Macaca fascicularis: one gene and its partners. The protein of the gene in region 1 purifies or fractionates together with the protein of each later gene. This does not show direct contact. Links are inferred from orthologs where the notes say so. Each region holds a gene or a part of one and is shown in the gene's direction. Other genes may lie near its edges. The genes, in order: SF3B1, SON, PRPF3, H1-1, RBMX, SNRPD2 and SNRPD1.

The links.
Region 2: the proteins of SF3B1 (region 1) and SON purify together in Homo sapiens (co-immunoprecipitation; 3 studies listed by BioGRID and IntAct, with this or other methods). This does not show direct contact. The link is inferred for Macaca fascicularis from reciprocal best matches to the Homo sapiens genes SF3B1 and SON.
Region 3: the proteins of SF3B1 (region 1) and PRPF3 purify together in Homo sapiens (co-immunoprecipitation; 3 studies listed by BioGRID and IntAct, with this or other methods). This does not show direct contact. The link is inferred for Macaca fascicularis from reciprocal best matches to the Homo sapiens genes SF3B1 and PRPF3.
Region 4: the proteins of SF3B1 (region 1) and H1-1 purify together in Homo sapiens (affinity purification with mass spectrometry; 3 studies listed by BioGRID and IntAct, counting the BioPlex papers as one, with this or other methods). This does not show direct contact. The link is inferred for Macaca fascicularis from reciprocal best matches to the Homo sapiens genes SF3B1 and H1-1.
Region 5: the proteins of SF3B1 (region 1) and RBMX fractionate together in Homo sapiens (co-fractionation; 3 studies listed by BioGRID and IntAct, with this or other methods). This does not show direct contact. The link is inferred for Macaca fascicularis from reciprocal best matches to the Homo sapiens genes SF3B1 and RBMX.
Region 6: the proteins of SF3B1 (region 1) and SNRPD2 fractionate together in Homo sapiens (co-fractionation; 5 studies listed by BioGRID and IntAct, with this or other methods). This does not show direct contact. The link is inferred for Macaca fascicularis from reciprocal best matches to the Homo sapiens genes SF3B1 and SNRPD2.
Region 7: the proteins of SF3B1 (region 1) and SNRPD1 fractionate together in Homo sapiens (co-fractionation; 5 studies listed by BioGRID and IntAct, with this or other methods). This does not show direct contact. The link is inferred for Macaca fascicularis from reciprocal best matches to the Homo sapiens genes SF3B1 and SNRPD1.

The regions. Positions count from the first base shown.
Region 1 is NC_088386.1:93,049,546-93,053,503, reverse strand, and holds the start of SF3B1 (splicing factor 3B subunit 1), read left to right. Parts: upstream 1-1,158; 5' UTR 1,159-1,187; coding exon 1,188-1,215; intron 1,216-3,958. UniProt on the Homo sapiens protein: Component of the 17S U2 SnRNP complex of the spliceosome, a large ribonucleoprotein complex that removes introns from transcribed pre-mRNAs.
Region 2 is NC_088377.1:13,348,670-13,352,169, reverse strand, and holds part of SON (protein SON), read left to right. Parts: intron 1-444; coding exon of another isoform or gene 445-474; exon of another isoform or gene 475-718; intron 719-1,227; exon of another isoform or gene 1,228-1,307; intron 1,308-1,982; coding exon 1,983-2,130; intron 2,131-3,500. UniProt on the Homo sapiens protein: RNA-binding protein that acts as a mRNA splicing cofactor by promoting efficient splicing of transcripts that possess weak splice sites.
Region 3 is NC_088375.1:110,908,746-110,911,419, reverse strand, and holds the end of PRPF3 (U4/U6 small nuclear ribonucleoprotein Prp3), read left to right. Parts: intron 1-1,811; coding exon 1,812-1,958; 3' UTR 1,959-2,174; downstream 2,175-2,674. UniProt on the Homo sapiens protein: Plays a role in pre-mRNA splicing as component of the U4/U6-U5 tri-snRNP complex that is involved in spliceosome assembly, and as component of the precatalytic spliceosome (spliceosome B complex).
Region 4 is NC_088378.1:146,912,123-146,914,645, forward strand, and holds H1-1 (histone H1.1), read left to right. Parts: upstream 1-1,316; 5' UTR 1,317-1,374; coding exon 1,375-2,022; 3' UTR 2,023-2,023; downstream 2,024-2,523. UniProt on the Homo sapiens protein: Histone H1 protein binds to linker DNA between nucleosomes forming the macromolecular structure known as the chromatin fiber. Histones H1 are necessary for the condensation of nucleosome chains into higher-order structured fibers.
Region 5 is NC_088395.1:143,024,301-143,026,839, reverse strand, and holds the end of RBMX (RNA-binding motif protein, X chromosome), read left to right. Parts: intron 1-40; coding exon 41-166; intron 167-253; coding exon 254-336; intron 337-972; coding exon 973-1,283; 3' UTR 1,284-2,039; downstream 2,040-2,539.
Region 6 is NC_088393.1:53,756,366-53,760,372, reverse strand, and holds the start of SNRPD2 (small nuclear ribonucleoprotein Sm D2), read left to right. Parts: upstream 1-1,207; 5' UTR 1,208-1,260; coding exon 1,261-1,262; exon of another isoform or gene 1,263-1,994; intron 1,995-4,007. Other genes in the region: QPCTL (glutaminyl-peptide cyclotransferase-like protein), read right to left, coding at 240-446. UniProt on the Homo sapiens protein: Plays a role in pre-mRNA splicing as a core component of the spliceosomal U1, U2, U4 and U5 small nuclear ribonucleoproteins (snRNPs), the building blocks of the spliceosome.
Region 7 is NC_088392.1:68,147,116-68,151,396, reverse strand, and holds the start of SNRPD1 (small nuclear ribonucleoprotein Sm D1), read left to right. Parts: upstream 1-1,481; 5' UTR 1,482-1,597; coding exon 1,598-1,611; intron 1,612-4,281. UniProt on the Homo sapiens protein: Plays a role in pre-mRNA splicing as a core component of the spliceosomal U1, U2, U4 and U5 small nuclear ribonucleoproteins (snRNPs), the building blocks of the spliceosome.

The DNA.
Region 1 (3,958 bases):
AATGGCTCCTCACTGTACCCAAAGTAGACATGGGGTCTTTCTGCAAGAGGAATACACCCATACCATTTTCCTCCCTTCAAACGACCATAATGACCCATGGTATGGTTAGTATTTGGGTTGTAGGTTTATCACATGGCGAGGTACTCCTTTCTTTGTGATGGCTCTAACCTTGATAACTACCTGTTTTCCTGGGCTGCTTCCGGGACCCATCTTTCTGAGCCTTTCTTTTTCATTGTCGAAGTCCAAGATCAGTGTGACGGTACAAGGTTATGATATTTTAATTGATGTCTAGGAAAACAGAATGCATTCTGATCTATTAAAATTCCTGATTTAGGAATACCGTCTACGATTTAAGAGAAACATTTAATGAATGTTAATAATGACGATGAGTGGTTTTCTAAGAACCCATAAAGTTAAAAGGCTTTAAAAGGGTGGTAAGATTCTCACTGTGCAACTCAATAACGATTTGTGAGGCTCAACGAAATTCTTACCCAAATTATTTGCAATTATTAAACAGAAATAATGAAAAATGACCTTGAATTACAGGGCGAGAGATGAGACTGTTAAGACTGTCTTTGTAACTAAGCACTGTAAAGACTGAGACAGCTGCAAGGTGAAGTTTTCCTCGAGTTCTTCTGGTGAATTGTGGGAAAGGGATTGAACGTCTGAGGTCTCTTCCAGCTCTGAAACCGCAGTGTTTCGTACAGTGTTCATTTTTTTTTATGGGAGGGGTCTCGGGGTCTTGCTCTTTCGCCCGGGCTGGAGGTTGGAGTATAGTGGCGCGACACGATTACGGCTCACGGCAGCCTTGAACTCCTGGGCTCAAGCGATGCTCCCACCTCAGCCTCTAGAGTAGCTGGGACTCAGTGTCTGTTCTTAACTCCCCTCGTAGAACCCACTTTCCTCCAAGGCAAAGTTACTCACTTAAGGACCTTACGGCTTAGCCCGAGGATTTCCTGGGTCACCACGCAGGCGGCTTCAGGTCCCAACCGTGACTCCTCCCCCACCCACAATGCACCTCGCGGTTCCCTCTAGGTGGCAGCTGTGTCACGTGTCACCCGACGGAGCGCGCTTCTGTTTGGCGCACGCGCAGAGTGCAGCCCCCAGCTATTTTTTTCTCCGTGGCGGCGGCGACGAGCGGAAGTTCTTGGGAGCGCCAGTTCCGTCAGTGTGTTCGAGTGGACAAAATGGCGAAGATCGCCAAGACTCACGAAGGTAAGCGGTCTTTCCCTGCTTACGTGTTTTCTTGGTTGCTAGCTTACTAAGAGCCTTTCTTCCTAGGATTCTGCCTTTTCCTATGGTTTCTTTCATGGGAGCCGAGCCCGCGTTTCGGGGCCAAGGGTCGTCTCCTCCGCGCCAGCGGCGCAGGCCACTGCCCCGCGTAATGGCGTCCTCCTCTTACACCCCCGACAGGCGCTTTGTTCGGTGTTTGGGACCTGCTACTTCAGAGTAGCTTCTCTTCTCCGACCAGAGGGCCTTGTTTAAGCGGCTTCCTCAGCAGGATTCGTGGGCAAGGGATCTGGGAAGCGGGCGTGGGGAGAAAGTCTCACTCGCCTGTCGACAGTGTCGTCCGCATAGTTTATGCAGAAGAGGGTCAGAAAAGCACTGAAATACGGCATCCGCTTTTCCGGCAGGACTGAATCGAATTTAGTTAAACCGAGATTCCATTACTCCTGCCCCCGTGTGTGTTCAAGCGTCAGTGTTACTTGCTTATTTTTCTTGCACGAAACGATTTGGGGATAAAATCTGGTAGTAGTTTTCCCTCCCTTAGTCACTTTTAGTATAATATTGATCTTTTTCTTTGGAGACTGGTTATTGGAAGAGCCAGATGGAAAAGGAAAAGATAAATTACTTTCATTAACGGCCGAAGCTTTCAAACTAGTTGATCGTTTTATGGAATGCAGAGTGTGCAAATTAGGAAAACGTTGGGAATAGACTGGAGTTCATTAGGAAATATCCAGAGATGACAGGAAACGGGATCACTTTTCAGAAAAGACGAGGCATGGGAAGTTGGAACTGCATTCTTTGATTTCTGACTTGGAATCCGAGATTTTCACTGAGAACGAGACTTCTAATTCACTTTTGTTTCATATGTTCTTTCTGGGTATTTGGCTCAGCATTAGTCTGTGAAAGGTAACAGACTGAGGCCATCCAAAATTTTACAGTCAGGTAGGGGAAACAGATGTGTATGTCCTCATTCTCTCATGAGGCCAAATGCATGCTTAAGTAGAAGAACAAACAACATGTTCTGGGAACCTGGATAACGGAATTATTATGCTTAGGGTTATTTCACTGAAGAGGTTACATGTCCCTGTTTTAAAAGGATCAGTTTTAAATCGGGAAGGACATCTGAGCCTGAGAACATCTTGTAACAAGGTATTGAATCGTGAAAGGTGTGTTTGAGTAGTAGTCCACTGTGGCAGGAACAGTGGGTGCAAGGAGAGAAGAAATAAATGAATCTGTAAAGGTTGGTTTAGGACCAGAATATGAATGGCTTTGAATTTTTGGGTCACTCGGAGGACCTGAAGTCCAGCTTTCTGCTGTTTATCAGACATGCTAATGAATTGGCAATGGCTTTAATACCAGTATTATTTTAGGTATTTAGGATTTAAATGCTCTCTTAGTGTTCTTAGGCCTTATTATTTTTCTTTAGACTATCTCAAATATAACCTTTTGCAAAATAAGTAGAAAATATAAAGATGTGCTGTTTTTGTTCATTCAGGAGGTTATTCATTTGGGGATATTGATAGTATAGCTTTGATATTTATTGGTAGCATAAGATGCTCTCAAACAGGAAAATCAAAGTTTTGATCAGTTTTCCTGAATTTTTTAGAAACCCAGCTAAAAGCTTTGGTCTATTGCTATTCATTGTCCAAACTTGTTATTTTTGAGATTATTCTATCAATGTGAATTAAGTGATGCCATAAGAAAATAGCAGAACATTCAATACTTGAACACTGTCTGTGCCCATCCCTATGGGTTATAAGTCAGGGGATAATAAATGTTTAGTAGAAATACACATAATACTGACATAGCTTCTTGCTTCCTTCCTAATGACATTTTCTTGGTGGAACTCTAATTATTCATGGTCCATCACTGTTTTCTCTTGTTAAGCCATTTTTGATAAACTGAAGCAGAATTAATGCTTTTAGGGGCAGTGCTGCCATAGCACTCAGTATAAATGTTATATTACTTAGAGTAGTCTATTGTGTTAAGATTTTCTCTTCTACTTAGCTCCAAGATTGAGATAAACTGGTAACTATTTATTTATTTTGCTGTCATATTCTTTCCAAACATTTATTTTATTTATTTTTTTTTTTTGAGATAGAGTCTTGCTCTGTTGCCCAGGCTGAAGTGCAGTGGTGCAATCTCAGCTCACAGCAACCTCCACCTTTTAGGTTCAAGCTATTCTCCTGCTTCAGCCTCCAGAGTACTGGGATCACAGGCATGCGCCACCACACCTGACTGATTTTTGTAGTTTTAGAGACAGGGTTTCGCCATGTTGGCCAGGCTGGTCTCAAACTCTTGACCACAAGTGATCCTCCCACCTCGGCCTCCCAAAGTGCTGGGATTGCTGGCATGAGCCACAATGCCTGAACCCTTTCAAACATTTCTATTAGGATCAGGCCTCACATCCTCTTTAACCAATCTGATTATATTTTACCCTGGCCAATGTGGCTTATGCTTTCCAGGATTGAAATATAAAAAGAGCTGGACTTACTCAAATCAGATAAAATCTTTTAGATCTTTCCGCATATTAAATTGTGTCAGGTGTATGGTTATGAATATGCATAATCTTGCCATCCAGCAGTTCTTCAGATACTGCTGACTTTGGCAAACAAATAGGGAACACATATTCTTCTCTGTTTTGTAAGGGGAAAAATGGGTTAATCAAAAATCCTGTGTATCAGCTTGTTTTGCCACTAATCCTTTGAATTAGATTTTTTGGTACATCACC
Region 2 (3,500 bases), on another chromosome or scaffold:
TTAAATATCACAAAGATTATCTATTCATTAAATGTGTAATTGTGTTTAGAAAACCTGTCAAACGATCATTTTGGCTCTTCTTTAGTATAGTCCAGCATCCACCTATGTGTTAAAAAACACATGGAATACCAACATCCTCTGTGTTCTTTTTAGTTTGTTGCAGTATATTTTTAGATTTTAAAAAAAGCAAAGTTTTATCAGTATTCTCATTAATCAGTAAAACACTTAAAATAGTTGGTTTAAAAGAACTTTTATTTCTGGAATGGGATGATTTGGATGTGACCTGATAAATAAGAGTTTATTATTGTGGTCTCATTAAATTAATCAGCTTTTTCACATTGGGGTAAAGAAACAGATGACGATACTAGGGAATGGAAACAAAATTGGAAACTTGGGTTATCTGGGGATTTATATTGTACTCTGCACAGTTGCCCTTTTTTTTAGGAGTGTTCCCTGGAAAAGAGGGACGGATGAACCTGGAAGTAAGTAAAAGACATTCTAGGTGTGTAGCATCAAGGCAGTTAATATCCAAGCATCAGCTTTCTCTTTATACATCTACACTGCATGGCCTGCACCAAATAAGGAACTGAACCAGGGGTATGTTTTTACCTCCACAGCTGCCTCCTTCCATCAGAGCATCTTGATGAACTTAATGTCTAGTCACACATCATTGGCATGTTTTCTCCCCAGCATTTAATTATAAAGCTGGGAAACAAAAGATGATAGTTTTACTACTGCATACAAACATGTTTTTTTTTTTTTTTACATTCAGTATTAACTTATCAATATAGGAGATGTGAATACATACTATTTCCTGAGCTACCAAAGTTTTTTTACTCTGTTGATAAGTTAATGACTTTTGCTATATGTATATTTATATATATATTTGGTAGAGAACATAAAAACCTAAAATTTAGTAACAAGGGGAAAATAAAGCATGATCTGGAGATACATGTTTCAAATTTTTAAAAAGTGGCCATAAAGATCAACAGTAGAATTTAATACTGTTATATGTACATGGATGCCCTTTAATAAGAGGCATTGAATATTTCTTAACCTGTAAAAATAAGTGTTGATCATGCTAATGTATATACTTGTGCATCTTAGGACATTAAGTGGTTTGCTGCTTTGATGGAAATTATGGTTCAGTGGGTTGGATACAAGAGAGATGATTGTTCACAGAATAACCTGTGAACTTTCACCCCTCTGTATGGAAACTTGTTTCAGGGCCAAATCCTTGTAGCTGTCTTCTTGCCCCGGTCAGTGCCAGCCGTACTATTCACAACATTGCTGCTACCGAGGCCTAGGTATGTAAACATTTAAGGAGTTTTTTAAAAGTCTTTTAACATCAAGCTAGGTTTTAAAAGAATTCAAATTCATTTTGGCATACTTACAGGATATTTTATGTGATTGTTTTCTATTTGTTACTGTGTAAATTTCAGGAGTTTTTTTTTTTTTGGCTGCTTTAGGGATTTTCTAAAGTAAAATATTTATACTTGCTTTATAGTAGAATGGGGAAGAAAACTTTGGATGACAACAGTATGCTTCTTCAGTGTCTAAACTATTTCTAAGTGATTTTTGGGCTTTATTCATAAACTAGGTACACCTGGGACAATTAATATCATTGATTGTTTTAACATTGCCTTCTTTTTATTTTGCAAGCTAAGAAGAGATACCAGTGAACCTAAATAGTGGACGAAAACAGGAGTGTTCTAATTTTTTTTTTTTTTGAGGGGGGCACGAGGGCTACTGTTTCAAAACTGCCATTTACTTGTCTTATTTAACTTCTAAAATACTATTACGTTAATGTGAAAATAATCAGAACATACACACTACAGTATGTATATAGAGGAATTTACATTTAATTGCTATAACAGATCTAGAAGTAAAATAAGATTCCTCTTTTTAGAAAGTAAACAATGAATCTGTTACCACATTCTAACTGTAAAATGGGGACATTTTACCTTTCTTTCTTTGGATAGGATCAGTTCTTAAGAGCAGCCCCGGTAACTGGAGGAATGGGAGCCGTTTTGATGAGAAAAATGGGCTGGAGAGAAGGAGAAGGATTAGGAAAAAACAAAGAAGGCAATAAGGAACCCATTCTAGTTGATTTTAAGACAGACCGAAAAGGTAATAAGTTCTTTTTTGAAATGTTTATTAACACCTCCTTTAACATTACCTTTAATATATCCTTTTGAACCCAGTGATCTTGAACTGAAGGCATTTCTTGTATATATACAGCTATTTGTCAGAAAAAACATTAACCCCTTTTGGGGTTCACAGAAGCAGCTTACTTTTATATAACTATGGATAGAGACACCAGTTTGAACTTTTAAAAGGCACCTTTTGTTATGCTAGTTGCTAAATATGGAAATGTGTATATATCTAATTATATTATTACACCTCCAAATTCAACCAGATTTCATGTTTAGAAAAGAGGATTTCCATTTTATTTTCTCTTGACAAAGAACCATCCTTATTTCTAGTTTGGTTTATTTTTTGTTATTTCCTATTACAATGCTGTTTAGTCTAGATTTCATAAACCCTGTTTGCTTTTTTTTGGTTGTTTTTTACAAGCTCAGTAGTTTAGTTGGGTTAGAGTATAGTAGACCAGCTGCTGACAATAATGTTACTTCTTCCTGTTGCCTGGTGTTAAGGCATTTTGGAACCATTAGCATTGACTGTATTTTCCTTTTACCTTCAGATACCTGGGTAGGACAGCACTGTGTCTTCCATGTAGCTTGTATGTAGTTGTTAAGTATTTAATCGTTCCCACAGATAATAGCTAATTGGCATCTTTTAAATAACTTCTTCCTTTGGAATAATGTAAGTGGAATCACGAGAGGCTTGCCAGCTCAGTATGATTTTTTATAGCTTGTTTAAACCTCATTTATAAAAGCTGGCAAATGTAAAACTGGGATTTATTTTCATCTTTGTAATCAAATAGTAAGTTGAAGCTAACTTCAACAGTTAATCTGTGTTAATGAATTTGGAAATGAACTAGCTCTGCACCAAATACTTTGGTGTAAGTATTGTACAATTTCAGGAAGCGTTCTCCTTGGAATTGTGGGACATGGCCTGACTGTAAGCTCTCGGAGAACCACAGATTTCCCAGGATAGGTTTGGAAAAGCTTGTATTAGCACGGAATTATTTAGCAAAGGTTGAAAAATTTCCTGTAACATACAAGATGAGCACCCCACATCTGGAAACCTGAAATGCTCTAAAGCAGAAAACTCTTTGAATACTGATATGATGCTCAAAGGAAATGCTCACTGGTGCATTTTGGATTTGAGCCTCTTCAGATTTGGGATGCTCGACCAGTAAATACAATGCAAATATTTGAAAACCTGGAATCATGCGACACACTTCTGGTCCCAAGCATTTTGGATAAGGAATACTCAACCTGTATATGGAATTGGGAAAGCAGTGTTTGGGTTTAGCAATATAGCTAATCCCCTTTGTAATAAGCCTATGGAGAGGGAGGTTATGTAGAAAGGTT
Region 3 (2,674 bases), on another chromosome or scaffold:
GTAATTGCTATTAATAGTTTTTCTTCTGAAGGAGCAATAAAAAAAAAAAAATTAAAAAAAAGGTTTTCATGTATCCTTCTGCCTTATCCCAGATTCTTCAATTTATGCATACAAATTAGATGATAATAACCATAGTATTTGTTTCTCTGTTTAATAAGTTCCCACCTGCATATTATCTTTTTTTTAAATCAATTTTTTTTTTTTTTGAGACGGAGTCTCGCTGTGTCTCCCAGGCTGGAGTGCAGTGGTGTGATCTCGGCTCACTGCAAGCTCCGCCTCCCGGGTTCATGCCATTCTCCCGCCTCAGCCTCCGAGTAGCTGGGACTACAGGCACCCGCCACAACGCCCGGCTAGTTTTTTGTATTTTTAGTAGAGACGGGGTTTCACCATGTTAGCCAGGATGGTCTCGATCTCCTGACCTCGTGATCCACCCGCCTCGGCCTCCCAAGTGCTGGGATTACAGGCTTGAGCCACTGTGCCCGGCCAATTTTTTTTTTTTTTTTTAGAGACAGGGTCTTGCTCTGTTGCCCAGGCTGGCGTGCAGCGGTGCAGTCATAGCTCACTGCAGCCTTGAACTCCTAGGGACAAGCAATTCTCCAGTCTCAGCTTCTCAAGTATCTGAGACCTCAGGTCCACACCACTGTGCCTGGCTAATTTTTAGAAATGCAGTCTCACTATGTTGCCTAGGCTTGTCTCGAACTCTTAGCCTTGACTGATCCTCCCATCTCAGCCTCCCAGAGTGCTGGGATTATAGGCATGAGCTACTGCGCCCATATCTTCACATATCTCAGCCCCCTCATCTCTTTTCAATTTTCTTCTATTTATCTCCGAAGAGTACTTACTGAAAAAGTCGCGGCTTCTTAGAGAACCAGTATTAATGTTGTAGGAATTTAGTTTTCAGGAATTGTCTTTCATATTCAGAAATAAGCCAAGTTCTGCTCCAGCCTCCTTATTGGAGTCTACTCCCTGAAAGCCTCTTGAGGTAGTGCTTTATGACTGCCATTGCTGCTGGTGCCTTTGGCAAGAATGCCGTTCTACCCAGTACTGTCTTTTTTTGTTGTAATTCTCTGCTGGTACCTGCTCTTCTTCTGTTCCCCACCCGGAGTTGTTCTTTGTTGCTGGGCCCCAAAGCCTTCTGCTTGTATAAATAGTTTTTTGGGCCTTTTTGAAGGCCCAAATTTAGTCCTGAAGGCCTGGTGGGAGATAAGTTTATCTCATTCCACCTTCCATAGTTCTTCCTGACTTGCTGTTCCACCCAGGCACCAGAGCAAAGAATTCCTCATCCTCATTTCAAAAATCTAAAAACCTTATACATATGAATTCATAAAAACTCATACAAATATCCAAGGAAATGGAGGTCACAGTTTTTTTTTTTTAACCATAAAATCACGTTCAGCTGGGCACATGTCTCACAAATGTTACTAGGTCTTTTTTTTTTTTTTTTTTTTTGAGACGGAGTCTCGCTCTGTCGCCCAGGCTGGAGTGCAGTGGCCGGATCTCAGCTCACTGCAAGCTCCGCCTCCCGGGTTCACGCCATTCTCTTGCCTCAGCCCCCCGAGTAGCTGGGACTACAGGCGCCCGCCACCTCGCCCGGCTAGTTTTTTTTGTATTTTTTAGTAGAGACGGAGTTTCACCGGGTTAGCCAGGATGGTCTCGATCTCCTGACCTCATGATCCACCCGTGTCGGCCTCCCAAAGTGCTGGGATTACAGGCTTGAGCCACCACGCCCGGCCTACTAGGTCTTATAAAAGAATATTATATCTGATTTAAATAAGAAATTGAAGTGTTTTTATTACATATCTCTTTCCTAGGGTACAGCCAAAGACCGGAGCTTTGGAGAGATGAAGTTTAAACAGTGTCCTACAGAGAACATGGCTCGTGAGCATTTCAAAAAGCATGGGGCTGAACACTACTGGGACCTTGCGCTGAGTGAATCTGTGTTAGAGTCCACTGATTGAGACTACTGCAAGCCCTTGCCTCTCCCCCCCTTGCCTTTGTCTCTTCAGTCCTCTCACTTATTCTATTTCCCAACCCACTCCCACTTGTTGTGTGATCTCAGAACTGTGCCAAGCAGACACTGGGACAAAGGGAGAATATCTTGCTCCCCTCCCGAGTCAGCCTGGTGTTGCCCTTTATTCCCCTTATGTGCATATGATTAAAGAGTTATTTTTAAACTTGGTGTGATATTTTTCACACATTCCTAAGTACTAGAGTTTGGGTCTCCAGGTGATCTTTTTTCCAGACTTTTAGCAATTGCTGTAGAAAAAAAATTTTTTGTCATTGACATTTATTTATATATATAAATGGATGAATGGATGGATGGATAGATGGATGTGTATTTTTGAAGTCTAGTGGAAATGTCTGATCTCATCCTGGAGCTAGAATGAGAAATACTGTTTTCCTGGAGCAGAATGAAGCAGGGAGATGTGTAAAGTGGTAAGGGAGAGAGGAGGGACAAATGAGTATCCATCCCTTAACTGAGAGAATCACCAGGTCAGACAGATTACCTCAGGACTTGGCTAAGTAGTCTTTCCAGGAAATCAGTTCCTCTAAGGGGTGCATATGTGGGAATGTGTGTTGTGGGTAAAAAGGACACAGGGAGAGTCCAAGGAGGATGCTATGGGTCAGTTTGTAAAGTGGAATAGGATTTAAGAATTTAGCCCATTTTGTCTCT
Region 4 (2,523 bases), on another chromosome or scaffold:
GCGTGGCTTCTCAATAAAATAGACGTAGGAAACACTGGTAAAGAAGATGGGTACAATAGTTATCTGGGACTACTACAATTATTTGGTTGACACGTTGTTTGAAGAAAAAGGGAAAAAGCTCAGGTTACTTAGCACAGTTCGGACTTATTTAAAAACTACAACAGCACGAACGGAAATAGACCGCATTCCCTCACTCTCCGCTGTGTTAAGGGGTTATCCAGAATAGGATTGTAGAAGTGGATGTCGATTTAATAGTTTTTTTGTTCTCCCGTTAGCTGAGTCTCTGATTGGCAATGTGAGATCGTTTTAGCTTATTGATAATTTGAAATGCTCTTAACAGCCACAAACAAGCTAAAGAGAGGTTACCATAAAATCTTATCCCCAGGGTGTGCTTACACTTACCGTTTGTTTTCACACTAAGGAGACTTAACTCCCCAGCAGAATGCCTGTCGGGGAACCAGTTTCTTGGACCCAGCATTTAACGCCTTTCGCAGGTTTGTGAGGCCCATAAATCTTTGTTGAATAAAACAATGAGTTCACCATGTCATGGTGCGCTCATTGCATGTGCTGACATGGAACACAGGTTGTAAACCTTAACACCCATTTGGGGCATGTTGTATGGATGAAAAGGGCATTGGAAATTCCTGAAGTGCATCCCACATTGGACTGTGGAAGTAAGTTGCAAGTGCAGAAACGTTTCCACACTTGCAGTTTGAGTATTAATTGCAGCGTTAGTGAATTCTGGTGTTGTCTACGATTCATTCTTCTTTGACGTGAAAGGTATTCGCGAGACACATCGCTCTAAAACATTGCCAGAAAATGTAATCGAGTTGATGACTACTAGCCCTAACACGGCCTAAAACCCGCACTTTCCTCTTCCTCCCCAACTATTCAAACACTGTATTTTACATTTCTTGCAAATTAAAAACTAACATATCTGGCAACGGACCTCTAAAACTTTCTAATAAAACTCCCTGGATGCTTGTGGGGCTGCATTTGCAAACCGCTCCCCATCAACCTACTCCCTAAAACAGAGCTGCTTTTTGAGAGACAAGCGGCACCCTCTGATGTTACTAGGTGGCAGTCGGCCTACAATTTCCTTCACAATGAGGCAATCGGAGCGGCTTTTTCGGTGTGTTTGCTTGCGTTGAGGGGAGCGGGACCATAGGCCCTAGAGGCCCCCAGGTGCTCTCTGAGACTGGGGGAAACCCTCTGCAGAGCGCAGGGGGCGCTAGGGTGCGAGGGGCGGGCACTGACGGGCACCAATCACTGCGCAGTCCCACCCTATAAATAGGCTGAGTCGGGGCCTTTTTTTTCTCGCATCCTGCTTGGTCAGGTTTATACCAGTTTACTTGGTGTGCTGTATTAGTCACCATGTCCGAAACGGCGCCTCCCGCTCCCGCCGCTTCTGCTGCTCCTGAGAAACCTTCAGCTAGCAGGAAGGCAAAGAAACCTGCTAAGGTTGCGGTGGCCACTAAGAAAAAGCCTGCTGGCCCTTCCGTGTCAGAGCTGATCGTGCAGGCTGCTTCCTCCTCTAAGGAGCGTGGTGGTGTGTCATTGGCTGCTCTTAAAAAGGCGCTGGCGGCCGCAGGCTACGATGTGGAGAAGAACAACAGCCGCATTAAGCTGGGTATTAAGAGCCTGGTAAGCAAGGGAACGTTGGTGCAGACGAAGGGCACCGGCGCCTCGGGTTCCTTCAAACTCAACAAGAAGGCATCCTCCGTGGAAACCAAGCCCGGCGCTTCAAGGGTGGCTGCAAAAACCAAGGCAACGGGTGCGTCTAAAAAGCCCAAAAAGGCCACGGGGGTTAGCAAAAAGAACGTCAAGACTCCAAAAAATGCTAAAAAGTCTGCGGCAACAAGGAAATCCTCTAAGAGTCCCAAAAAACCCAAAGCTGTAAAACCCAAGAAAGTAGCTAAAAGCCCTGCTAAAACTAAGGCTATAAAACCCAAGGCGGCCAAGGCTAAGGTGACGAAGCCAAAGACTGCCAAACCCAAGAAAGCGGCACCCAAGAAAAAGTAAATTCGGTTGGAAACTTCTACTAACCCAACGGCTCTTTTAAGAGCCACCTACACACTTCGGGAAAAGAGCTGTAGTACACAGATGAAATTCCCCCAAGCAAATGCAATACGCCCTCATTTATATTAGAATCACTTGGAGAGTCAATAGGAACTTTAACATAGGTTGAGTAGTAAATTCTTGCCAGATGAGGCTATCAAAGATAGCAAGGTGAATTCAAATGCACCGAGTTAAAGTCGAATTTTAGATCACCTGTTTTGCTTTTTTTTTTTTTTTTAAGTAGCCCGAAGTCCCGCATCTCACGACCCCAAGCTAATTAGTCATAACTGTAACGAACCAAGGTTGAAGCCTAGTCCCAGGCTTGAGGCTTTTTTATTATACAAGGTTAAAGTGCGGACATTGCGTTCTTGGGTCAATATTGCTAAAGTAGCCTTTTCCGAAATTGGGTGGTCCTAAGAAATGCTTCTGGGATAGTAAGCAAAATTCATGGCTTAATCACGCCCT
Region 5 (2,539 bases), on another chromosome or scaffold:
AGCTTATCAAAAGCATGAACCAAAACTTTTGTGTTTGTAGCTATTCAAGCAGAGATTACCCAAGTTCTCGTGATACTAGAGATTATGCACCACCACCACGAGATTATACTTACCGTGATTATGGTCATTCCAGTTCACGTGATGACTATCCATCAAGAGGCTATAGGTAAGTGACTGCTTCTGTGGCTTGCATGTAAGAAAAGTTGCTATAAAAGTTGATGCTCTGGGACTTAAAGGTTTCTCTTTAATTTAGCGATAGAGATGGATATGGTCGTGATCGTGACTATTCAGATCATCCAAGTGGAGGTTCCTACAGAGATTCATATGAGAGTTATGGTAAGATACTGGTTAAGGGTCTTGAGTATCACCAGCTTGAGTTTTTAGGTTCGTGAGCCAGTTTTTTAGGCTGCGTGGTGCTTGCTTTTTAAAGGGATGTTTGCTTGCTTTTAAAGGGGTAACTTTATCAGCTGGGCTTTTCCTAGTTTTGTGAGGGGCTTTTTTTTTGTTTTTCTAAGTTTCTTTTGAGGCTGTTTGCTTGCTTTGGAGGGGATTTTGCTTGCTTAAATTGGCAGCCTTATGTGTTTTCCCCCAACAGTGAAAATACAATTTAAAAATTTTATTAACAAGATCAAATATTTACCATTGCAATATGAAGGCAAGTTCTACAGTTCAAAATTGCAACTTATCACTGGAAAGTGGCTGAGTGTCTACTATAAAATAACAAGCTCTCTGGAATATCCTCTTGAAATACACACCGTCTTCAGTCTTTTCAAACAAACATTAAAATGAATCCATTTCCATATCTCAGCAGATGAGCAAATCCCTGTTATGGCCAGCAATGGCAGAGTTTAAAACCTCCCACCCAGTTGAGAAAGTAAACTTTTAATACAAGAATTCTGTAAATTCAGATTTAAAATGTTGTATATATACAATTTATAGTGTTGCCATATTACCTGACCATTGACCCTGCAGGTAACTCACGTAGTGCTCCACCTACACGAGGGCCCCCGCCATCTTATGGTGGAAGCAGTCGCTATGATGATTACAGCAGCTCACGTGACGGATATGGTGGAAGTCGAGACAGTTACTCAAGCAGCCGAAGTGATCTCTACTCAAGTGGTCGTGATCGGGTTGGCAGACAAGACAGAGGGCTTCCCCCTTCTATGGAAAGGGGGTACCCTCCTCCACGTGATTCCTACAGCAGTTCAAGCCGCGGAGCACCAAGAGGTGGTGGCCGTGGAGGAAGCCGATCTGATAGAGGGGGAGGCAGAAGCAGATACTAGAAACAAACAAAACTTTGGACCAAAATCCCAGTTCAAAGAAACAAAAAGTGGAAACTATTCTGTCATAACTACCCAAGGACTACTAAAAGGAAAAATTGTGTTACATTTTTTAAATGCCCTGTTAAGTTTTCCTCCATAATTTTTATGTTCTTGTGAGGCAAAAAGTAAAACATGTTTAATTTTATTTGACTTTATGACATTGCTTTTCAACAAGCAAATGTTCTTGTGAGGCAAAAAGTAAAACATGTTTAATTTTATTTGACTTTATGACATTGCTTTTCAACAAGCAAATGTTAAATGTGTTAAGACTTGTACTAGTGTTGCAACTTTCCAAGTAAAAGTATCCCTAAAGGCCACTTCCTATCTTGATTTTTCCCAGTAAATGAGGCAAGCAATTCTAAGATCTTCCACAGAACATCTAGCCATCTAAAATGGAGAGATGAATCATTCTACCTATACAAACAAGCTAGCTACTAGAGGGTGGTTGGGGTATGCTACTTATAAGATTTCAGAGTGTCTTCCAACTGAAATCTCAATGTTCTCAGTATGAAAAACCTGAAATCACATGCCTGTGTAAGGAAAGTGCTATTCACCCAGTAAACCCAAAAAAGCAAATGGATAATGCTGGCCATTTTGCCTTTCTCACATTTCCTTGGGAATCTGCAAGAACCTCCCCTTTCCCCTCCCCCAGTAAGACCATTTAAGTGTGTGTTAAACAACTACAGAATACTAAATAAAAAGTTTGGCCAAAACCAACCATGAAGCTGCAAAGGTGCTTGCTCTTACTGTTTCAAATTTTTGCAACTCTGTAGTGTCTCACTTTTAAAGGAACAGCTTGATTGCAAAGGAGAAAATAGATAAGCAATGAAGTTATCTCCAACTTCCTAAAGGCTTATGACTTCTAAAAAGTGAATCTATCAGCATTCCACATCAGATTTAAAGCATCAAATGCCTGTGAAACAGCAAAGATGGTAAGCAAAGCAAACTAGTTTTTCCGTCTAAGTCGAAATTGAACACTTACCTTCCTCATAGTACAGTGAAACATACTGTACCTCAAGGCAATGGAAATGCCTTCTAGATTAAAAAACTTTTGGAGAAAAGAAATATTCAATAGCATATTAGAAGTCTTCCAAATTCAACACTTGGATTCTTTTTTTTTTTTTTTAAGCATGTATGACACTTAAAGGCTTTATTAATAAAGCTGTTGTTTACCAATGGCGATCTGGGGCTTGGGAGGGGGTATTTTTTTCAAAGTC
Region 6 (4,007 bases), on another chromosome or scaffold:
ACTAAAGGCGTAGAACCCTGAACCCCCTCGTCTTACTATTTCAGACCTTTCCTCATAAAAGGAAGCTACTGTTGTAAAACCAGCCCGAAGCCTTATTCCTTTGGTAAGGGTCATGCGCTCAGATGACGAAGACTGTGGCATCTGCGGTTAGGGCCGTACGCTAAAGCCAAGTCAACCCTGGGTAACAGCGGGGAGGGAATGAGGGTCCCCGCGGTGCCCGGGTCCCCGCCCAGCCTCACCCGCAGCTCCCGGCCCAGCGGCAGCTCCTCAGTCCTGCGGTGCCAGCCGCTCCAAATGGTGTAGAACGCCGAGCCCACGGCCAGCGCCAGCAACAGGGGCAAGAGCCGAACCCGCGGTAGCAGGCGGCGCTTCGGGGGCAAGAGTGGCTCCATAACGCCACGTTCCCCTAGCCGCAGGCGGGGCCGCCCGCGGCCCCCGGAACGCATGGCAGCTATGCCCTGAAACCTGTACCAGACCACGATTGAGTTTAGGCCCAGCCAAGTTCCACCCCATGGAATCAGTGGGCCAATAAGCAACAGCAGCGGCTGCACCTGCCCACCCCACAGCGAGCAGCGAAACCAATAAGAGCTACGGTCCTGAGGACACGCCTCCCGGCCTCCCTTGGGTATTGGGGTTGGTTCTTCTGAGAATGGCACGACCCAAAAGGGAGCGCAAAAGAGATAGGCTCCGCCTTAGCGGAGGGGGAAAGCCAATGAGCAGCGTTTGATCGTGGAAAATATTCAATCTCTCGGGCGCAGGTCCATGCCCCTCCCGGATGTAGGCAGGGGATTGGTGGCGCAGGGTCGGAAAGATCAGTAGATACGTCAATAACCCGTCCCAGAGGGAAGAGGGGCGGTGCCTGTCTCCGAAGCGAGGAGCGGATTGGCTTCAGCGGAGGCCGCGCCCCCGAAGTCACGGCCGGCGGGCATTTGGAAATAGTTTGTCATTTCCCTCCTTAAACCTGTACCATTCTTAAACGAAACGGTTTGAATCAGACCGCCTTTCCTTTTGTCTTCATTGTCATAAACATCTGCCCCGTGTGGTTCTGACTGGCCTCGAACCCCTATCCGAGGCTTTTATTCTTTCATTGTGCACCGTTGGTGGGCAATGCTATGGCAACAGGCCACGCCTCCACTTACTGGTTGGCTTTGCGCAGGCGCCAACGGAAGTGGGTCGCAGGAAGAGGAAGTCCCGCCTCTCTCGCCTCAGGCTGCAGCAACGCGGAGGAAACGGGAGTGAACGGAGAGCTTAGTGACCATCATGTGAGGCCGGGCTAGGCTTAGGCGGCGGGAAGGAGGTTGAGGGTGGAAATTTTGACCGATTGAGGGTGGGAAGGGTTGAGCAGAGAGCGGGGTGGGGGACAGGGGCAGATGTTTTAGGGATGGAGCGTCCTGCGTTTCTCCTGATGAGTTTGAGAACGGGCGTGGGGCCTTTGACGCATCGTGACTTCGGGAGAGGGGACAGCTTTATCAGATAACGCGCTGGGCTGGGCGCGGGGACTCATGCCTGTGATCCCAGCATTTTAGTAGGCCAAGGCGGGAGCATCGCTAGAACACAGGAGTTTCGAGACTACTCTAGGCAACATAGCGAGACCCCCGTCTCTACAAAAAAAATTTTTTTTAATTATGAAAAACATATTTTAAACGATAACGGAGGGGGGTCCTAGATAATTAGTCCTATTGAAGTGAATGTTAAGGGGCAGCGATTTTACGAATACTGGGGGAGGCCGGGCGCGGTGGCTCAGGTTTGTAAATCCCAGCACTTTGGGAGGCCGAGGCGGGCAGATCACCTGAGGTCAGGAGTTTGAGACCAGCCTGGCCATTGTGGTGAAACCCCGTGTCTACCAAAAATACAAAAATTAGCCAGACGTAGTGTCGGGCCCCTGTAATTCCAGCTACTTGGAAGGCTGAGGCCGGAGAATCGCTTGAACCCGGTAGACGGAGGTTGCAGTGAGCCGAGATTGCACCACTGCACACTTCCAGCCTGAGCGAAGAGTAAGACTCCATCTCAAAACGAAACAAAAGAAATCAAAACGAATACTGGGGAAGGGAAGTTAGGACTTTTAGAAATAATGATTTGAAATAAGGGACTTCTCCTGATCATTTGAGCTGGAGACAGATGCGTTTTCGACCTAATTCACAACTTAAAGGGATAACGAGTGATTGGCATGATTTTGCTCATTTATTAGTGCACCAAATATTACATTGAATGTTTATGTATCAGACACTGCTTAAGCCACATAGGATACATCAGTGAATGAAACCTTTTGTTCCCAAGGAAAAAAAAAATCTTTTTTTTTTTTTTTTTTTCCCGAGACATAGCCTTGCTCTGTTGCTCAGGCTGGAGTGCAATGGTGCGATCTCAGCTCACTGCAACCTCTGCCTCCCGAGTTGAAGCAATTCTCCTGCCTCAGCCTCCCGAGTTGCTAGGATTACAGGCACCAACCACCATGCCCAGCTGACTTTTATATTTTTAGTAGAGACCAGATTTCGCCATGTTGGCCAACCTGGTCTCAAACTCCTGACCTCGAATGATCCACCTGCCTCGACCTTCCAAAGTGCTGGCATTACAGGCGTGAGCCACCGTGCCTGGCCGGGCGTGAGCCACCATGCCTGGCCGGGGTTTTACTTTCTACACTGAGATGGCGGGGGGGCATGGGAGGATTTTCTTTTGTTTGTTTGAGATGGAATCTCGCTCTGTCACCCAGATTGGAGTGTAGTAGCACGATCTCTGTCTCCTGGGTTCAAGTGATCTTCTTGCCTCAGCCTCCCAAGTAGCTAGGATTACAAGCATGCGCCACCATGCCCAGCTACTTTTTTTTTTGGGGTGGGGGATGGAGTCTTACTCTGTAACCCAAGCTGGAGTGCAGTGGTGTAATCTTGGCTCACTGCAACCTTCGCTGCTGGGGCTCCAGCGATTCTCCTGCGTCATCCTCCTAAGTAGCTGGGACTAGAGGCATGCGCCATCACACCTCGTTAATTTTTTTGTATTTTTAGTAGAGACAGGGTTTCACCATGTTGCCCTGGGTGGTCTGGAACTCCTGAGCTCAGGCGATCCACCCCCCTTGGCCTCCCAAAGTGCTGGGATTACAGGCGTGAGCCATCACACGCAGCCTAATTTTTGTATTTTCTAATTTGTATTTATTTATTTTTTGAGACAGAGTCTCGCTCTGTCGCCCAGGCTGGAGTGCAGTGGCATGATCTCGCTTCACTGCACTCTCCGACTCCTGAGCTCAAGCGATTCTTCTGCCAGAACCTACCAAGTAGCTGAGATTACAGGCGTGCACCACCACGCCTGGCTAATTTTTTGTTGTTGTTTTTGTTTTGTTTGTATTTTTAGTAGAGATGGGTTTTCACCGTGTTGGCCAGGCTGGTCTCGAACTCCTGATGTCAAGTGATCCACCCGCCTTGTGAATCATCACCAGCTGGATGCCTAACAGACATTTTCTTTTCTTTTCTTTTCTTTTTTTTTTTTTTTTTTTTTGAGACGGAGTCTTGCTCTGTTGCCAGGGTGGAGTGCAGTGGCGCGATCTCAGCTCACCGCAACCTCTGCACCACAAAAGTGCTAGGATTACAGGCATGAGCTACCGTACCCAGCCCCTGGGAGGGCTTTGAAGAGTGACATGTTATGATTTAGGTTTTAGCACAGCCCCCTCAGACCACTCTGTGGAGAACAGACTGTCAGGGAACATGGGTGGAGGCAGAGAGACCGGAAAGATTCCAGGTCAGAGATGACAGAGGCTGAGGCCATGGTAAGAAATGGCCACTTCCTACAGATTTATTGTAGGATGCAAGGGAAAAAGAGGAATCAAGTTGACAAAGAGTTTTTGCCCAGAGAACTAGAAGGCAGATGGGGAACACTGTGGATAGGGTAGGCTTCGGTGGTTGGGTGATCTGGACCCCGACCTGAGACATGCAGAGTTGAAAATGTCTGGCTGAGCGCGGTGGCTCACACCTGTAATCTCAGCACTTCGGGAGGTCGAGGCGGGTGGATCACGAGGTCAGGAA
Region 7 (4,281 bases), on another chromosome or scaffold:
ACAAAACAAACAAGAGTAGTTAGTGGGATAAGGAAAAAGGCCAGGTGAGCTTGGCATCCTGAAACCTGAAAGAGGTAAGGGGAGTGTTTGTGTTAAATCTTGATGAAGTTCACACCTGTAATCCTAGCACTTTGCACTTTGGGAGGCCTAGAGAGGCAGATCACTTGAGGTCAGGAGTTCAGGTCATCCTGGCCAACATGGGGAAACCCTGTCTCTACTAAAAAGACAATAATTAGCAGGGCGTGGTGATTCCCCCCTGTAATCTCAGTTACTGGAGAGGCTGAGGCACGAGAATCGCTTGAACCGGGGAGGCAAGGGTTGCAGTGAGCCAAGATGGTGCTACTGCACTCCAGCCTGGGCGACAGAAGGAGACTCTGTCTCAGAAAAACAATAAAAATAAATTTTGAGGAGATGTTGTGAAAGATGAAGATTGAAAAGTTTGTCTTATAGATCGGAACTTAAAGTGAAAATAATCCGCTACATTGTGTGATTTTATTTTTTTATTTTTATTATTTTTTGAGACGGAGTCTCGCTCTGTTGCCAGGCTGGAGTGCAGTGGCGCGATCTCGGCTCACCGCAACCTCCGCCTCCTGGGTTCAAGCGATTCTCCTGCCTCAGCCTCCCGAGTAACTGGGACTACAGGCGTGTGCCACCACGCCCAGCTAATTTTTGTATTTTTAGTAGAGACAGGGTTTCACCATGTTGGCCAGCACGGTCTTGATTTCTCGACCTCGCTATCTGCCCGCCTCGGACTCCCAAAGTGCTGGAATTACAGGCGTGAGCCACAGCGCCCGGCTCATTGTGTGAATTGCTTCAGGTACATTAAGTAATGCTAAGGTTCCTGGCGTTGGAACAGAATTAGCATAATCCTTTGGGCTTCTCTAAGAACTTATTTTCGTTCAGTGAGGAATTTATATTAGGTGCTGCACTCACGGTGCCCTGCTATTCAGAAACGTGATGGTGACAGTACTAGTGTGTGTGTGTGTGTGTGTGTGTGTGTGTGCGCGCGCGCGCGCGCGCGCGCGACGGAGTTTCGCTCTTGTTGCCCAGGCAGGAGTGTAGTGGTGCGATCTCGGCTTACTGCAACCTCCGCCTCCCGGGTTCAAGCGATTCTCCTGCCTCAGCCTCCCGAGTAGCTGGGATAACAGGCGCCCGCCACCACATCCGGCTAATTTTTTGTATTTTTAGTACAGACGCGGGTTTCACCCTATTGGCCAGGCTGGTCTTGAACTCCTGACCTCAGGTGATACCCCCGCTTCGGCCTCCCAAAGTGCGACAGTCCTATTAATTGGATTTAACCTCTTCGAATCTCCTTCTCTTGTGGGACACTTTTCCTCTTAGACCAGCCCTCAACACCCTCAGTCGTGGCAAGGCAACCTCCAGCCGCCAGGGGCCGCAGTCGCGCTCCTCGCGACCGGAAGAGAGTGCGGCCCAGCGCAGCCTCGGCGTTTCCGCCGTGCGTCTGCTGTGCTCCGCGCGCCCTTTACGACCGGAGTCCCTGGAGTAGGCGCTTCCGGCCATTCATACTGCAGTTGGTCAGTATTCGGTTGTTGGATTCTGTGCGCTCTCGGACCCGAAGGGTGACGGCGCCGCTAGGATGAAGCTCGTGAGGTGAGGGAGTGACCAAGCAGCTCTGGGGGCTGTGGAGGGAGGGCTTGGCCCGGAGTCCGGAAGGCTGGGCTCTCCCATTTGCAGGAGGCGGGAAAGCCGCGTGTGCGCGGCCTGCTAACGGCCGGCCTTACTGCGCCCGCAGCTCGTGCTCGGGCCTGGGCTTCTGCCTGGGTCGCTCGCGGATCCCGCGTGTCTTCCAAGATACTGGTATAAAGGCCGAGCCTTTTCTTCCCGCCTAGTGACTTAGAGACTTTCAAGGTGCAGCGCCGCCTGGGAGACATCTCGCCCTTACAGTTACTGATTTTCTTTTTGAGTGGAGCTCCAGCCCTACTTAAGAGTACTTAGAAAGCTGTATGAGCTTATCTGGAAACAAACCTGTTTGCAAACTGTTTTAAATCAGAGAAGGACTTCTGGCTTCACAAGTTTTTGTTTTTGTTTTTTTTTAAATAAGACGGTGTCTCACTTTGTTGACCAGGCTGGTCTCGAACTCCTGGGCTAAAGCGTTCTGCCTGCCTCGCCCTCCCAAAGGGCTGAGATTACCGGTGTGAGCCACTGCGCCCGGCCGATTTTTAAGTTTATCTTTTGATTCTCCTTAGACTTATGATTGATTATTCTACCTCTTTCCTGTTAAGGTAAGCTTTTTATTTAGGAAAATCTCCCAATATAGGGCAGAAATTATCACAACGTAATTGTGGCTGATTACCCAGATGATATATAGTTATTCTGTTTTATTTCTTTCGCGAGAAATAGACCCTGTCACTTAGGTGAGTCTTCTGGAGACTAATTCCAAACTACCTGCGAGTAGATTTGGTTTTGGTCTTTTTCCTTGAGACTGAGCCTGGAACAGAGGCAGACGTTTCTAATAACTAAGCCATCGATTATAAATATTTAGCTTGTTTCTTTCCTGTTGAGTCAAGGATTGTCATTATCCGCTAAATAGTTATTGGGCACCTGTTACCTACTGGGCGCTGGTAATAGTATTTTTTAAAAGGCAGATCCTTGTTGGAGCTTTCTAGTTAGGGGGATGACAGACAAGTAGATAACGTTTGTTTGAAACGTTTTAAATAACACATAAAAGCCTTCAATATTCAGGGAGGAGGCCAGGCGCAGTGGCTCACGCCTATAATCCCAGCACTTTGGGATGTCAAGGCGGGCAGATCACTAGGTCAGGAGTTCGAGACCAGCCTGACCAACATGGTGAAACCCCGTCTCTACTAAAATTACAAAAATTGCCCGGGCGTGGTGGCGCGCGCTTGTAATCCCAGCTACTGAGGAGGCTGAGGCAGGAGAATCGCTTGAACCCAGGAGGCAGAGGTTGCAGTGAGCTGAGATTGGCCACTACGCTCCAGCCTGGGCAACAGAGCGAGACTCCGTTGCAAAAATAAAAAAATAAAAAATTCAGGGAGGAGTTGGTACAAAAGACAATTAAGATTAATTTTTGTTGTATTTTTATTTGAACTATAATTTTGGATAGGAAGTCATAGAATTTAAAGTGCATTTTTTAGGCTGGACGCGGTGGCTCACGCCTGTAATCCCAGCACTTTGGGAAGCTGAGGCAGGCGGATCGCCTGAAGTCAGGAGTTCAGGACCTGCCTGGCCAACGTGGTGAAACCCCGTCTTTCGAAAAATACAAAAATTAGCCGGGCGCCTGTAATCCCAGCTACTCAGGAGGCTGAGGTAAGAGAGGCGCTTGATCCCGGGAGGTTGTAGTGAGCCGACGTCACACCACTGTGCTCCAGCCTGGGCAACAAAGCGAGACTCTGTCTCAAAAAAGAAAATTACAACATTTTTTGAAATTTCTCCATACCTGCTAATCTGAATCTTAATCTACTCATAGTTCAATTTTATGTAATACACCTTGGATTTCATTTGTTCCCTTTAAAGATATTGCATGTTATGGCAATTTTCCAGTAATTTTTAATAGCTGGACTGAATCCTGTTTTGTGTCTTAGGTCAAATATAGAAAGAAAATTTTTTTCTTACCAGAGAATGTATTTTTCCTCCAGAAAATGATTGTTTGACTAACTGGTTTGCGTTTTCAGTAGACTAATTTCTGTATATCAGTTGGTAGTTGTCATCCTTATTCTCACTGTCACCCTAACCAAAAACCTGGGAGGTGAGCTTGACTTTTTCTCTCCTGATGTCCTTGACATTTGATACACTGCCAGTTTTACCTACTGCATAAAAGTGTCCCACATTTTCCTGTTTGTTTTTTGGGTTCAGATAGTGTGTTTTGATACTGAGGGACACCGTGTTATCTGACTATTTGATATCTAAGTTTCACTAAGTAGAAAGAATTCAGATACTGAAAGATTCGTCTGAAAATAAGTTGAATCCATTTGGTTCCTGGGTTCAGTTAGGGAGGGATAATTGTGTATTTGTCCTGCCCATAGTAGCCTCCTTTCGTTCCGGTCACCACCATTGAGGTTCAGGCCCTTTTTATCCCACTCATGGATTTTTGTTTTCCTTCTTTGAGGTGAATATCTTAATACAATGAAATGCAGCGTATATTTCCTGCTATTGAAAAACATAAGCACTTTTGTAACCTAAACCCCTATCAAGAGAAGTAACATTACCAAAACCTCAGTTTCCTCAAGCCTTTCCCAGGCAACCTCTGACTCCATACCCCTAGATGCAACCAATTTCTTCCACCATACATGAATTTTGCCT